3 linked regions of the Caenorhabditis elegans genome follow. The protein of the gene in region 1 interacts with the protein of each later gene in a pairwise test. Each region holds a gene or a part of one and is shown in the gene's direction. Other genes may lie near its edges. The genes, in order: gmeb-3, ing-3 and rbr-2.

Region 1 (3,753 bases):
CGCAATGAGCTCCAATGAAACATCGCGAGACGTGTCCGAAATAGTGACAATTGAAAGTGTCTGTGTGTCGCCCACCAATTTATGATAAGTGTGTCTCATATAGAGGACAAATGCGATAAGACAGAGAGATGGACGAAGAAAAGTTGAATGGAGTTGTAGACGATTGGAGGTTCGGCTGGTGGGGAGGGACACATAAGGTAGGGGGGACCGCCTGTTTGAAAGGGGGGACTCAATGCAACAATAAACGTATTATGATTCATTAAGTTTCAAAACCAAGTAACATTATGGCAAGTATATTGAGGTAATGTAAATAGTGTCTCTCTCATAGACAGCTTATCAGCAAGAGAAAATGGAATTTGTTCTAAGACAGGCTGAAAGTGGTGGGAATCTGTGTTTCAAACTTTTTTTTGATACTTTTTTGGCCAAAAAAGTAAAGCAGAACATCTTTATCATACCTTAGTTTTGTAACAACCAAATTCGAAACTAAAACTTGAAAAACAAGCATTCCCACTATCGCTTTTACGATATCAACCATCTATTTGAACAAAAACAAAATAAGATACTATCATATTAAAGTTTGTTACTTTTGATACTGGGAATGAGCAAAAAAAGAGTTTCAGTTTTTTTGGGCGTGGATCCTAACTGTAGTATTTCAGTCAAAAAACAAGAAGAGCTTGCTTTAGTAACGCTACTGTACCGTACCATTACAATAAACTAGCCAGTATTGCGTAAGTACCCTGGATATGCCGAGATGGAGCCCACAATCAATGTCGCCTGCTCAATTAACAATTTTGAAAATTTAGGAAATTTCATAAATTTTAAAATATATAACTTCCACTTCGCGATTTTTCATGCACAGCCGCAATTCATTGAATAGGTATTCCCCTATTCACCCATTAATATTTTAAAATTAAAAAAATCATATCTTAGCTAGAACATAAAAATATATCTAAAAATTAATTCCAGATGTTTCTCCACTGCACATGAAAAAAAACAAGCAAACAGTTAATTTTCAAAACAAAAAAAAACATTTTAAATGTAAAAATTGTAGCTAGCTCCAGGCTCCAGTCATATGACGAATGAGGTAATCGTTGTTCGTTAAAAAGTATAAAATCACCTTCATTATCGGGCCTCTCATGGGTATTTAGATCATTGAATTGCGGTTTCAAAAAGTAAAAGTACAAGTCCGGGTCACCCACCACTTTTAATGGAATGTGGATATGCTCAAATACAGTGCTCATTGTAATGGGATGGCGTGGAGGATGATTTACCCTGTGTAACAGAAAAATAGTAAAAATGTTTAACACCGGATGTTTCAGAAAAAATCCCATTTCAAATAATTTTGCAGAGCATTTTTTTGAATTCTGTGTAATTCTTCACAACAAACGTACTGGAAAAAAATCTGGAAATTTTTGAATTTAGTTGGGTAAACAATTTTAGAAGCTGATTTTTTTTTCAAAAAAAAAGCTTCCATGCAAATTACCGGGCCTCGCAAGAACTTAAAAAAACTCTTATGAAAAACATTTTTTTGCTAGTTCAAAATGCTCTTCCGAAACTAATTTTTCTGCAGTCATCTATTTTAATAATCATATTGTTTGTCCCTAGTAAGGCTTACGATACCACAATACTTTTTGGATTTTTCTCTGCAATTTTTCCAGTATAAATGATATTTTTGATCATTGAAATGCCTTAACTTTTCAAAAAAAAAATCATTAATTTATTTTAAAAATATTCAAAAACACGCGAGAAGCCAACAGATCCAAGCTGGCGGAAAACTAGTTGCGTGTCAGAAATTATCGTGTCGCGTCGGGTCGCCCATCTTTATTCATCGATTACCTGAAAAATGTGTGACGACGATGATTTCGAATTCTCTACTCAACCCGAGTTCGGATCAACCAGTGAGATGAAAAACGAAGAGATGCTGGTTCCAAGTGATCCAAATTTCGAGATAGACGGGAGACGCGTTCAGGAGAATATGTATGATGTGAGTTGGGATGTGAAATTTTGAGACAATTTTTTTGGAAACAATTCTTCCAAAAATTGAAATAGTCTTGTTAGTCTCGGAAATACTTTTTTGGCTCGAAAAAAATCTTCAATTTAGTTTGAAAACTTCAAATGCACCTACATTGCTGTCTGAGATACGAAAAATGCCATTTTGGCTCCAATTAGCAATTCGAAAATAACAAATAAATATTACAGCAAGCATCGGAACTCAGCTATACTTACCTGGATACTCCATCTGAACATATCTGGACACCAATTGTACCTCTAAATGCCACCACGGTGCCGGTTACCTGTGGATATGTCAAAGGAATTATGCATCTCAAATTGTTCAGGTGCCCCGGAATTCGTCAGGCTTGCATCGAATATGAATGTATGGTGGCTTTTATAATGTGAGAGAATGAATTTATTCTGGAATTTCAGCACAGTATCTGACTCCGAAACAATTTACGGAACTTGGTGGAAAAGGGCGACAGAAAGACTGGAAGGCGTGTATTCGTGTGGAGAATGTTAGCTTGAGGTGAGTGCAGAAAGATCAATAAATTGTATGCTTTGGTTTAGGCTCAGGCGTATGCTTAGGCTTAGGCCTCGGTTTTAGGTTATGTGCTAGGCTTAGGTTTGGGCTTAATCGTAACCTTTTGCTTGGGACTGCTAGCCACGTTTAATTCTTAACGTTCCAGTTTTAATTCATTAAATTTCAGAACACTATTGGAGAACAAAACCATCGATTTCTATAATCACAAGAGTATCTGTCATGGACAGTGCCAAAGTCGCAACTACATGAACTCAACGGGCAGAGCTCCAGTTAACAAACGTCACCTCGAAGATGTTCTAGCTTCCGGAGATGATGCATCTGAGCCAACGGAGCAAAGTAGTGGACAAATTAGTGAAGAGCCAAGTAATATTTTAAAAATCATGGTGCATTTAATTTTAAGGAAATCCTATTTTTTCAGTCAAGAAAAGAGGTCGTGGGCGTCCAGCAGGCAAGAAAAACAAGGCAAAGCTGGAAATCAACTTTGTTGAATCAGAAGATCAGCTTGTTTTTGAAGAGTTCTTCCAGCCAGCTTTCTCAACAAGATCCCCAGCTCCAGAAAGACCTGTGTGCAGCCCAGCTCAGGATATTTACAGTTGTCTGCAAAATGGTAAGGAGTTTTTGCATATTTTCGAGTTTCACTGCCTCTACCTATCAAATAAACTTCCAAATGATTCCAGATCCAATGAGTTTCTGGTCTCAAATCAAGCGAAGCGGCTTCATTTCTCAATTCTGTGATGACATAATTGCCGGTGCTATCAATCTGAAACAATCTGCAATGACTCAATCCTTGAATCAAAATAGTGCATTTGTTCTGACTCGTGCCACATTTGCTCTTGGTATCCAGAAGCCGATTGTGAATCGAGTGCAATCGATCGAGAGAAATGTGAATGAACAGAAGAAGCAAAATGAAATGATGGAGGACCAGGGAAAATATCAAGAAGATGCTCAAACTGAAGCTGACGACTTGGATAATCAACCTAGATGCAGTTATCTTTTGGAGGATCTTTAATAGATTTTAATAATAATTATTTTTTGTTCTGTACTGTTCGTACCAGTACTAGTATTTAAATAAAAGATTTTTTCAAGTTTTAAGTGCTTTCAGAATTTAATCACAAAATTGTTCTATTTCCCAGAAGCTTCCAGTTCAATAAAAAAACTGACCTACAGGCATATAAATAACCACATTTTTTATTGGGTGATCTTGATAATTTTTAAAA
Region 2 (3,753 bases), on another chromosome or scaffold:
AATGGGTCTCGTAGTCCGTGAATTTTGAATTGATTTTTTGCACAGATTTTGGGTAATTTCGCTGAAAAATGTGTATTTTATGGGTTTTTGGGCAGTTTTTTCCATAATTTTTCACTATTTTTAGGTAAAAATTCGGAATTTCTGATTTTCAGCCAGTTTTTTTTTCATTATTTTCTCCGATTTTCTAATAAAAAAGCGAATTTTTCGCTGAAAAATGCGAATTTTAGTCCAATTTTCTGATAAAAATCCGAAAATTCGCAGATTTTTCGGGTAATTTCGCCCTAAAACTTAAGTTTTTCATAATTTTCCCCGATTTTCTGATAAAACTCCGAATTTTTTCCCTTAAAAAAGTGGATTTTCGTATTTTTAGGCAGTTTTTTTCATAATTTTTTGAAAAAAAGAGGAATTTCTCGTATTTTGGCTAAAAAAATGACGAATTTTTTTTGATTTTCCTGAAATTTCATTGATTTTTTTTGAATTTCTCGTCGGATTTTCCACAGGTTTTTTAAATTTTTTAAAGGATTTTTCAGTTGATTTTCTGAGATTTTTTCACTAAATTGAGAATTTTCGTTCGATTTCCTGGAAATTTTTTTGACATTTTTCAAATTATTTACTGATTTTCTTGCCTCTTATTACGGGTTTTCACCGATTTTTAGCGAAAAAATCTACCGATTTTATCGATTTCGTATCTCTCGGATTTTCTTGAATTTTTGCAGCGATTTTTAGTATTTTCGGTGAAAAAAATGTGGATTTTCTAAATTTTGCGATTTTTTTTTAATTTTCGGATTTTTAGGCTGTTTTTTTTTGTTTTTTTTTTCTAATTAATTTATCCAATTTTCAGCTGGAACTCGATCGTTATGTGCCTCCGCGTGCTCGTACCGATGGCTCTCCTCGCCTGGTACTTTACCAACGAACATCCGAACGCGCTCCGTTGGAAGAATCCGGCAATGCCGAAGCAGTATTCATACGATTTCTACCGTGCCTACCCGTTCGACGATCCACGCAAATACCCAATTGTCAACTATTCGTTTGATTTGGAATAGAAAATTCCTTAGTTTCGGTTGTTTTTTTTTTGGTAGTTTTCTCCGTTTTCTCCTTTTTTGTACTATAAAATATTCGAATTTTATCATTTTTTTTTTTGCCTTTTTTTTGCCCTTTTTTCAGCGTTTTTAACGCTTTTATACCTATTAATTCGTTTTTTTTGTTGCTTAAAATTGCGCCTAATTGAAAAAAAAATTCCTAAATTTTATATGATTTTTTGAAAATTGAAAAAGTCTCAGTTTTCACCCCTAATTCCTATTTGAATTACCGCTAATTGGATTTGTTCGATGGAGCGCGCTTGCACGTTTTTAAGTTTATTTATTTTATTTTTTGTTATTTTCCACCGATTTTCAATTTTTTTTAGTTTTCGGTGTATTTTTACATGAATTTTAGAGAAAAAGTCAAAATAAATGCTAAATTTCGATTAAAAAGCACGCTTACAGGCGTAAAAATGACAAAATTAATTAATTTCACTGATTTCGGTCTGTACGCATGGTTTTTATTCGAAAATTTGCATTTATTTCGACTTTTTCTCTAAAATTCAAGCAAAAATACACCGAAAACATTAAAAATCGGTGGAAAATAACAAAAAATAAATAAATTTAGAAACGTGCAAGCGCGGCGCTCCAACGAACGAGTTCAATTGGCGGAAATTCAAATAGGAATTAGGGGTAAAAACTGAGATTTTTTCAATTTTCAAAAAATCATATAAAATTTAGAAATTTTTTTTTGAATTTGGCGTGTTTTAAAGCAATTTTCCCACTGGCGCTACGCTACTCCACTTTTAATTAATTAATTATTTGGAAAAAAAATTCAGAACTCGGCGCTGGACGCCCCCGCACAAAATGCTCTTCCTCGATGATTTTTTAGAAAGTAAGTGGTTTTTTTTGTTGCAAACTTTTCCCCTATAAAAACACCCAAATTTTCAACGTTTTCCAGTGCTCGATGAGCTGCCTGCCGAGCTGAAGGAGAGAAGCGATGAAATTCGGCGAATCGACAATGAAGTTGAATGTAAAATTTCGAAATTTTTCTGAATTTTTCCCTTCATTTTTTCGAATTTTTAGCCCGTCTAAACCGTAATCGAGAGGCGATCAACGATTTTTTCGAGAGAACCGGCGTAAATATGCCCGAGGAGCAGAGAAAGGAGCGCTGCAAGGTTTTGCAGGAGGTGAATTTCATGAAAATTCCTGGAACTCGAATTTGGCAGCAAATTGACACGAAAACGCAGGAAAAAGTTGATTTTTGCCACAAAAACGGCTAAAATTCGTGAAAAATGAGAAATTTCGCTATAAAACCCGTTTTTCTAGCTTTTTCGTGAAGAAAAATGAGAAAAAATGGGATTTTTTTGTACTTTGCCTGATGTCATTTTTTCACTTTTTAAGCTTTTTTTTCCCACAAAACACCAAAAGTGCTCAAAAATACTCAAAGTGAATGACGTCTAAAAACACTAAAATGAGGTCGAAAAACTCAAAAAGTTGCTCAAGATCCGACCAAGTTGTAACCTTTTCGGAAAAAAACCTAAAATTAGAATTTTGTCGTTTTTGATCGTTTTTTGAAGCTTTTTCTTCACAAAAATAGCTTAAAAACGCAAAAATTAGCCCAAAACGCTTATAAATCTCAAAATGCATCCAATTTTTCAAAATTTTCCGCTAAAAATAAAGGAAATACCGAAATTTTCAAAAAATGAGCATTTTTCCGCGAAAAAATCCCAAAATTCCGCTAATTTTTCAGAATTTCTCGGAAAAAAACGGTCGAAAAAATTCCTTTTTTCACTGAAAATCTTTTTTAAAAAACAGGACAAAAAATCGCAAAATTCAGACAATTTTTCGGAATTTCTTGTTAAAAAGTGAAAAAAAAGCTGAAAATTTAGCTTTTTTCACGAAAAAAAATTGAAAATTCAACTAATTTTTGGGAAAAAACATTTACATTTGCATTTTCTAATTTTTTTTTCGTGGTTTTCTAAAAAAAACTTTCAAAATCTCAAAATACAACCAATTTTGCCGAAATTCTTGGAAAAAAACCCTAAATTTGCATTTTCTATTAATTTTAAAAGCTTTCTCCCCCAAAACTACCTTATAATCCCAAAAAATCAGCCAATTTTTCTAATTTCTCTTTAAAAAAAAAGCTGAAAAATTAGCTTTTAAAAAAAAAAAAAGCTTAAAAATCCCAAAATGCCAATTTTCCAGATTTTCTCGCGTTGAAAGTGAAGGAAATGCCGAAATTATAAAAAAAAATTAGCTGTTTTCACAACAAAAAAAAAGTCGAAACCCCCGAAAAATCATAAAATCAACCAATTTTTCAGAATTTCTCTTTAAAAAGTAAAAAAAAGCTCAAAAATTTGCTTTTTTTTTTCAATAAAAATTTTAGAATTCAACCATTTTTTCAAAATTTCTCGTTAAAACGTTGAATAAGCTCAAAAAAAAGTTTTTATCACAAAAATAGCTGAAAAATGGCAAAATTTCTCTTAAAAAATGAAAAAAAAAGTTCAAAAATTTGCTTTTTCACAAAAAAAAAATTGAAAAAACCCAAAAAATTGCAACCAATTTTCTTCAGGAATTCTCCACAATCCGCGTGCTAGCTCAACGCAAATATCTAATCGCCGAAAAAATGCAAGAACTCCTCAAAAAGTACAAAGTTCACTTGGAAAAGGAGAAAACCACGTTCCAGTGTGAAATGGAGGCCGACAATTCAGGAGTGACCGAAATGATCGAA
Region 3 (3,753 bases), on another chromosome or scaffold:
CTGAAAATCGTGCACTGTTCAATATGTTACACATTTTCGCTTTAAGTTCCGCGTTCAGCCTCACTTTCTAACCACGTCTGTGATTACACGTCTTCAGCGTTCGGTCATAAACTTCTGATTCTCCCTCCGTTTCGTCTATTTGTCGTAAGAATGTGTGTAGTCGTGTGAAACAAGTCTTTTTCGCCCTTTCGTTTTTAATCAGCTTCTTCACACGCAGACAGCTGATTCTGCTTTTGCAGTTATAATCTATGTCTTCTCATTCTCTCGCGCGCAACCATCGTTTATTTCAAAACGGGCGCATAATAACTTTTTAATGAGTTTGATTTAGTTTTGAAAAATAATATTCACATTCCTTAGAAACTATGGAGATTCACAATTCGGCGAAATCAGTTTCTACATATTACTGTGTACTTTTTACAACTTCTATGATTTTAAAGTGGCGAGTTTATGCGGAATGGTCTCGCCACGCTCTGCGATTTTTTTTTCAGAAATCTGGTATGTGCGCCTTTAAGATTACTGTAGAGGGTTTGCTGGCAAATCTCCAATTTTCTCGTTTCTCCCTTTTCTTCATTTTCGATTGTTCTTTTCCCAATTTTCTGTATTTTATGTAATTAGACATGCCAGAAAAATCTCTACAGTCATCTTAAAGGCGCACACGCCAATTTTTTCATGAGTTCGCAGTGCGTGGCGAGACCATTCCGCATTGATACGCCTCCCTTTAAAACCGTAGTAAACAAACACAGTCTCAAATCTTCAATTAAAAATGCTGGCTCTCGGAGCCATAATTCCATGTTCTCTTTTTCTCTCAGTCTGTGTTCATTTTACATGCGTCTTCCTGCTTTCTCTTCGTTTTCTTTGTGTGCGCCCATCTTTCCTCAGCTGCTGGCCTCAAAAAAAAGTTAGTGCAAAAATTCACGTATTACTAGGAGGCACATGCGAGAACGCGTCGCGCACATAACATGAATAAAGTGTGATTGGGCAGGAGACCGAGAGATTATTGCTAGCGAATAGCATGCAAACAGAGGAGTGACAAGACGACGAGAGTGGACACTCGAGAGTAATGTTCGGCGGAGCGCACTTTCCTCGATTTTCGTGGGCCGACCCTGGTGGGCGCTGGGGGCTATTTCCTCTCGGTTTTTCGATTTTATCTATATTTTTTTCTGTTTCTCCGCTTATCTTTACCGCACGCAATTTCTGACGAAAAGGACACCGACCTACTGCAAAGTGGTCAAAGAATACCAGTCTCTCAATGCATTTTAGGTGACACATCAAAAAGATTCAGAGAGATGGAGTTTTCAATGATTTGAGTTACTATACGATGCCTTACGTGTCTTGACCTACATTTAAAACTCTACCAAAGATCCTTGTCTAAACTTTGAAAAGCTGCTCGACCTCAAAAATTGGAGAAATATATATATTTAAATATGAGTCATTTTTCAGCTTAATTATTTATACAATATTAAGTTCAAATCAAAAGCTTAATAAGAAAAAGCTTAAAAGCCAATTTTAAAGGAGTATAAGCTAATTTTCATTTCCGGGTTTCTATGACGTCTATCATAACACTCGTGATGCATCTTGTTTCATCACATGGAAATTTCTCGTCGGTACTTAAAATGTTCTTCTTCTCAAAGCTTTTAATTTCAATTAATATTAAAGTCAAACAAAAATGAAATTTACAGATCTCATGAAGCTATAAGCCAAACTGAAAAATGCGTGCACGTCGTCAAGAGAACAGTATCTCGACGCCGTCAGCACCGTCGACGAGCACTTCTCCGCGGAAGAAAGCATCCATCGGAAATTCAAGATCTAAGAATCATGGAAGCAAAATGGAAATGTACGATCAATTCTATAAGGTTTGATTACTAAGACATACATAAGGTGAATAAGCTTTCATAGTTTTCAGAAATTCGTACGACCTCCAATGGCTCCAATTTACTACCCGACAGAAGAAGAGTTCTCAGATCCAATCGAGTATGTTGCCAAAATACGACACGAGGCCGAAAAATTTGGAGTTGTTAAAATTGTTCCGCCGGCGGTAAGTTATTTATTCGGAAAATTGTACGTCTGACGTTTAACAAGTTTTTAATCGTTTTTGAAAAGTCTGAAAAAAAGCGAAACAATGTTTGTAGTAGTTTAAAAACTTCTACTACTCCCTTCAATTAAATACTAAATATTAGAAAATTTTCAGTTTACTAAAAGAATGGTCACCACTTGAAAAGTGCAATTTTATCTGAAAATTTTTGATTTTTCCCTCAAAAAACGAATCGAGAAGCATCAACTCTCTTTTTTTGCAGAATTTCAAACCACCGTTTGCTATCGACAAAGAAGCCTTTACATTTCGTCCCCGAACTCAAAAACTGAATGAAGTGGAGGCAATTGTCAAAGAGAAACACACATTTATTGACCGATTAATCAATTTCAATCGATATTCTGGTCTAACTTTTGAGTTTCCAGTGGATCGAGATGGAAATATTGTCGATTTGTATCGATTACATCGTATAGTTCAAAACTTTGGAGGATGTGAAGAAGTGAATGAAGATGAAAAATGGAGAGACGTTGCCCGCGAATACCTTCCAAAGGAGCAAATGGCTCGCGGTGTTCCGTCGGCTTTCATAAATTTGATTCGATCACATTATAATTTGCACATTGAACCATTTAATCGAAATTTGAAAGAAAAAGCGATGAAAAATGATGATGAAAGTGATGATGAAATGGAAGAATTAAAGCATAAGTGAGTAATTAAGAAATTTAAATAAATAAAAATCTACAAATCAGTTAAGAAAACATAATGTAGATGGATTTTTTTGAAATTATATGCATTTTAAATTTTTCTTATGTACCCATGTTTTTGTTTTTTAGAACCATGAAAAAATGTTAAAACCGATAAATAGTAAAATTTTTAATTTTGTTATTAATAATTTCCCCCATTATTCTAATTAAAAACGAATGAATTTCATAGATATCAACATCACCACGGAACTATGCGGACAGAAATAGAAGTTCCAAATGATAAAACTACTGAAGGAGGGGAAGATGAGTGTCCAGTGTCGATGCAAAGTGGTCGACGGAGATCTAAAAATAAGAAGGCTTCATCTTCAAGAAAGACTCTTGGAACATCTTCAAAGAAGAATTCAACCAGAGGAAGAAGTTCGTTTTTTAAATTTAAATTTTTTAAATTTATTTTCACAAATTACAGAAAATAAGAAGAAAGCCGAAGGAGACGATGATGATGATGAAGATCCAATGGATCAAGTATTCTGCGTTGCTTGTAATGAAGGAAAGGATGAAGATCTACTACTTCTTTGCGATATTGATGGATGCAATAATGGTCGTCATACATATTGTTGTGATCCAGTACTCGATGAAGTACCAGAAGGCGAGTGGAGATGTCCAAAGTGCATTGAATCAGAGGATGCAAAAATCGGATTAGACTGGGGATTTTATGATGCGGACACAGAATACAATCTGAACTCATTCACTGAATTTGCCAACAAATGGAAATGTGATTATTTCGGTGTAAAAGATGTATCACAAGTGTCGTGTGATGCTGTGGAACGATCATTCTGGAAGAATGTAATTTCACACGAAAATCCAGTTTCTGTCAAATACGGTGCCGACTTGATTACGAGTCGAGTAGGAAGTGGATTTCCTCGAAAAGAAGATAAGCACACTGGCCCAGATCTGAAGCTGAAGCAGCAATACGCTTCACATGCATGGAATCTGAACAATATGCCTGTACTTCGAGAATCTGTT

What was found.
Region 2: the proteins of gmeb-3 (region 1) and ing-3 interact in a two-hybrid assay, tested with the Caenorhabditis elegans proteins (one large-scale study listed by BioGRID).
Region 3: the proteins of gmeb-3 (region 1) and rbr-2 interact in a two-hybrid assay, tested with the Caenorhabditis elegans proteins (one large-scale study listed by BioGRID).

The regions. Positions count from the first base shown.
Region 1 is NC_003281.10:3,766,705-3,770,457, forward strand, and holds gmeb-3 (SAND domain-containing protein), read left to right. Parts: upstream 1-1,795; 5' UTR 1,796-1,843; coding exon 1,844-1,984; intron 1,985-2,199; coding exon 2,200-2,374; intron 2,375-2,424; coding exon 2,425-2,521; intron 2,522-2,702; coding exon 2,703-2,899; intron 2,900-2,954; coding exon 2,955-3,143; intron 3,144-3,213; coding exon 3,214-3,545; 3' UTR 3,546-3,624; downstream 3,625-3,753.
Region 2 is NC_003280.10:13,874,176-13,877,928, forward strand, and holds the start of ing-3 (Inhibitor of growth protein), read left to right. Parts: upstream 1-1,858; 5' UTR 1,859-1,886; coding exon 1,887-1,914; intron 1,915-1,980; coding exon 1,981-2,052; intron 2,053-2,105; coding exon 2,106-2,209; intron 2,210-3,594; coding exon 3,595-3,753. Other genes in the region: ndub-8 (NADH dehydrogenase [ubiquinone] 1 beta subcomplex subunit 8, mitochondrial), read left to right, coding at 842-1,043.
Region 3 is NC_003282.8:10,918,398-10,922,150, forward strand, and holds the start of rbr-2 (Lysine-specific demethylase rbr-2), read left to right. Parts: upstream 1-1,672; 5' UTR 1,673-1,709; coding exon 1,710-1,853; intron 1,854-1,896; coding exon of another isoform or gene 1,897-1,903; coding exon 1,904-2,035; intron 2,036-2,294; coding exon 2,295-2,731; intron 2,732-2,959; coding exon 2,960-3,147; intron 3,148-3,196; coding exon 3,197-3,753. UniProt on the Caenorhabditis elegans protein: Histone demethylase that specifically demethylates 'Lys-4' of histone H3, thereby playing a central role in histone code. Does not demethylate histone H3 'Lys-9', H3 'Lys-27', H3 'Lys-36', H3 'Lys-79' or H4 'Lys-20'.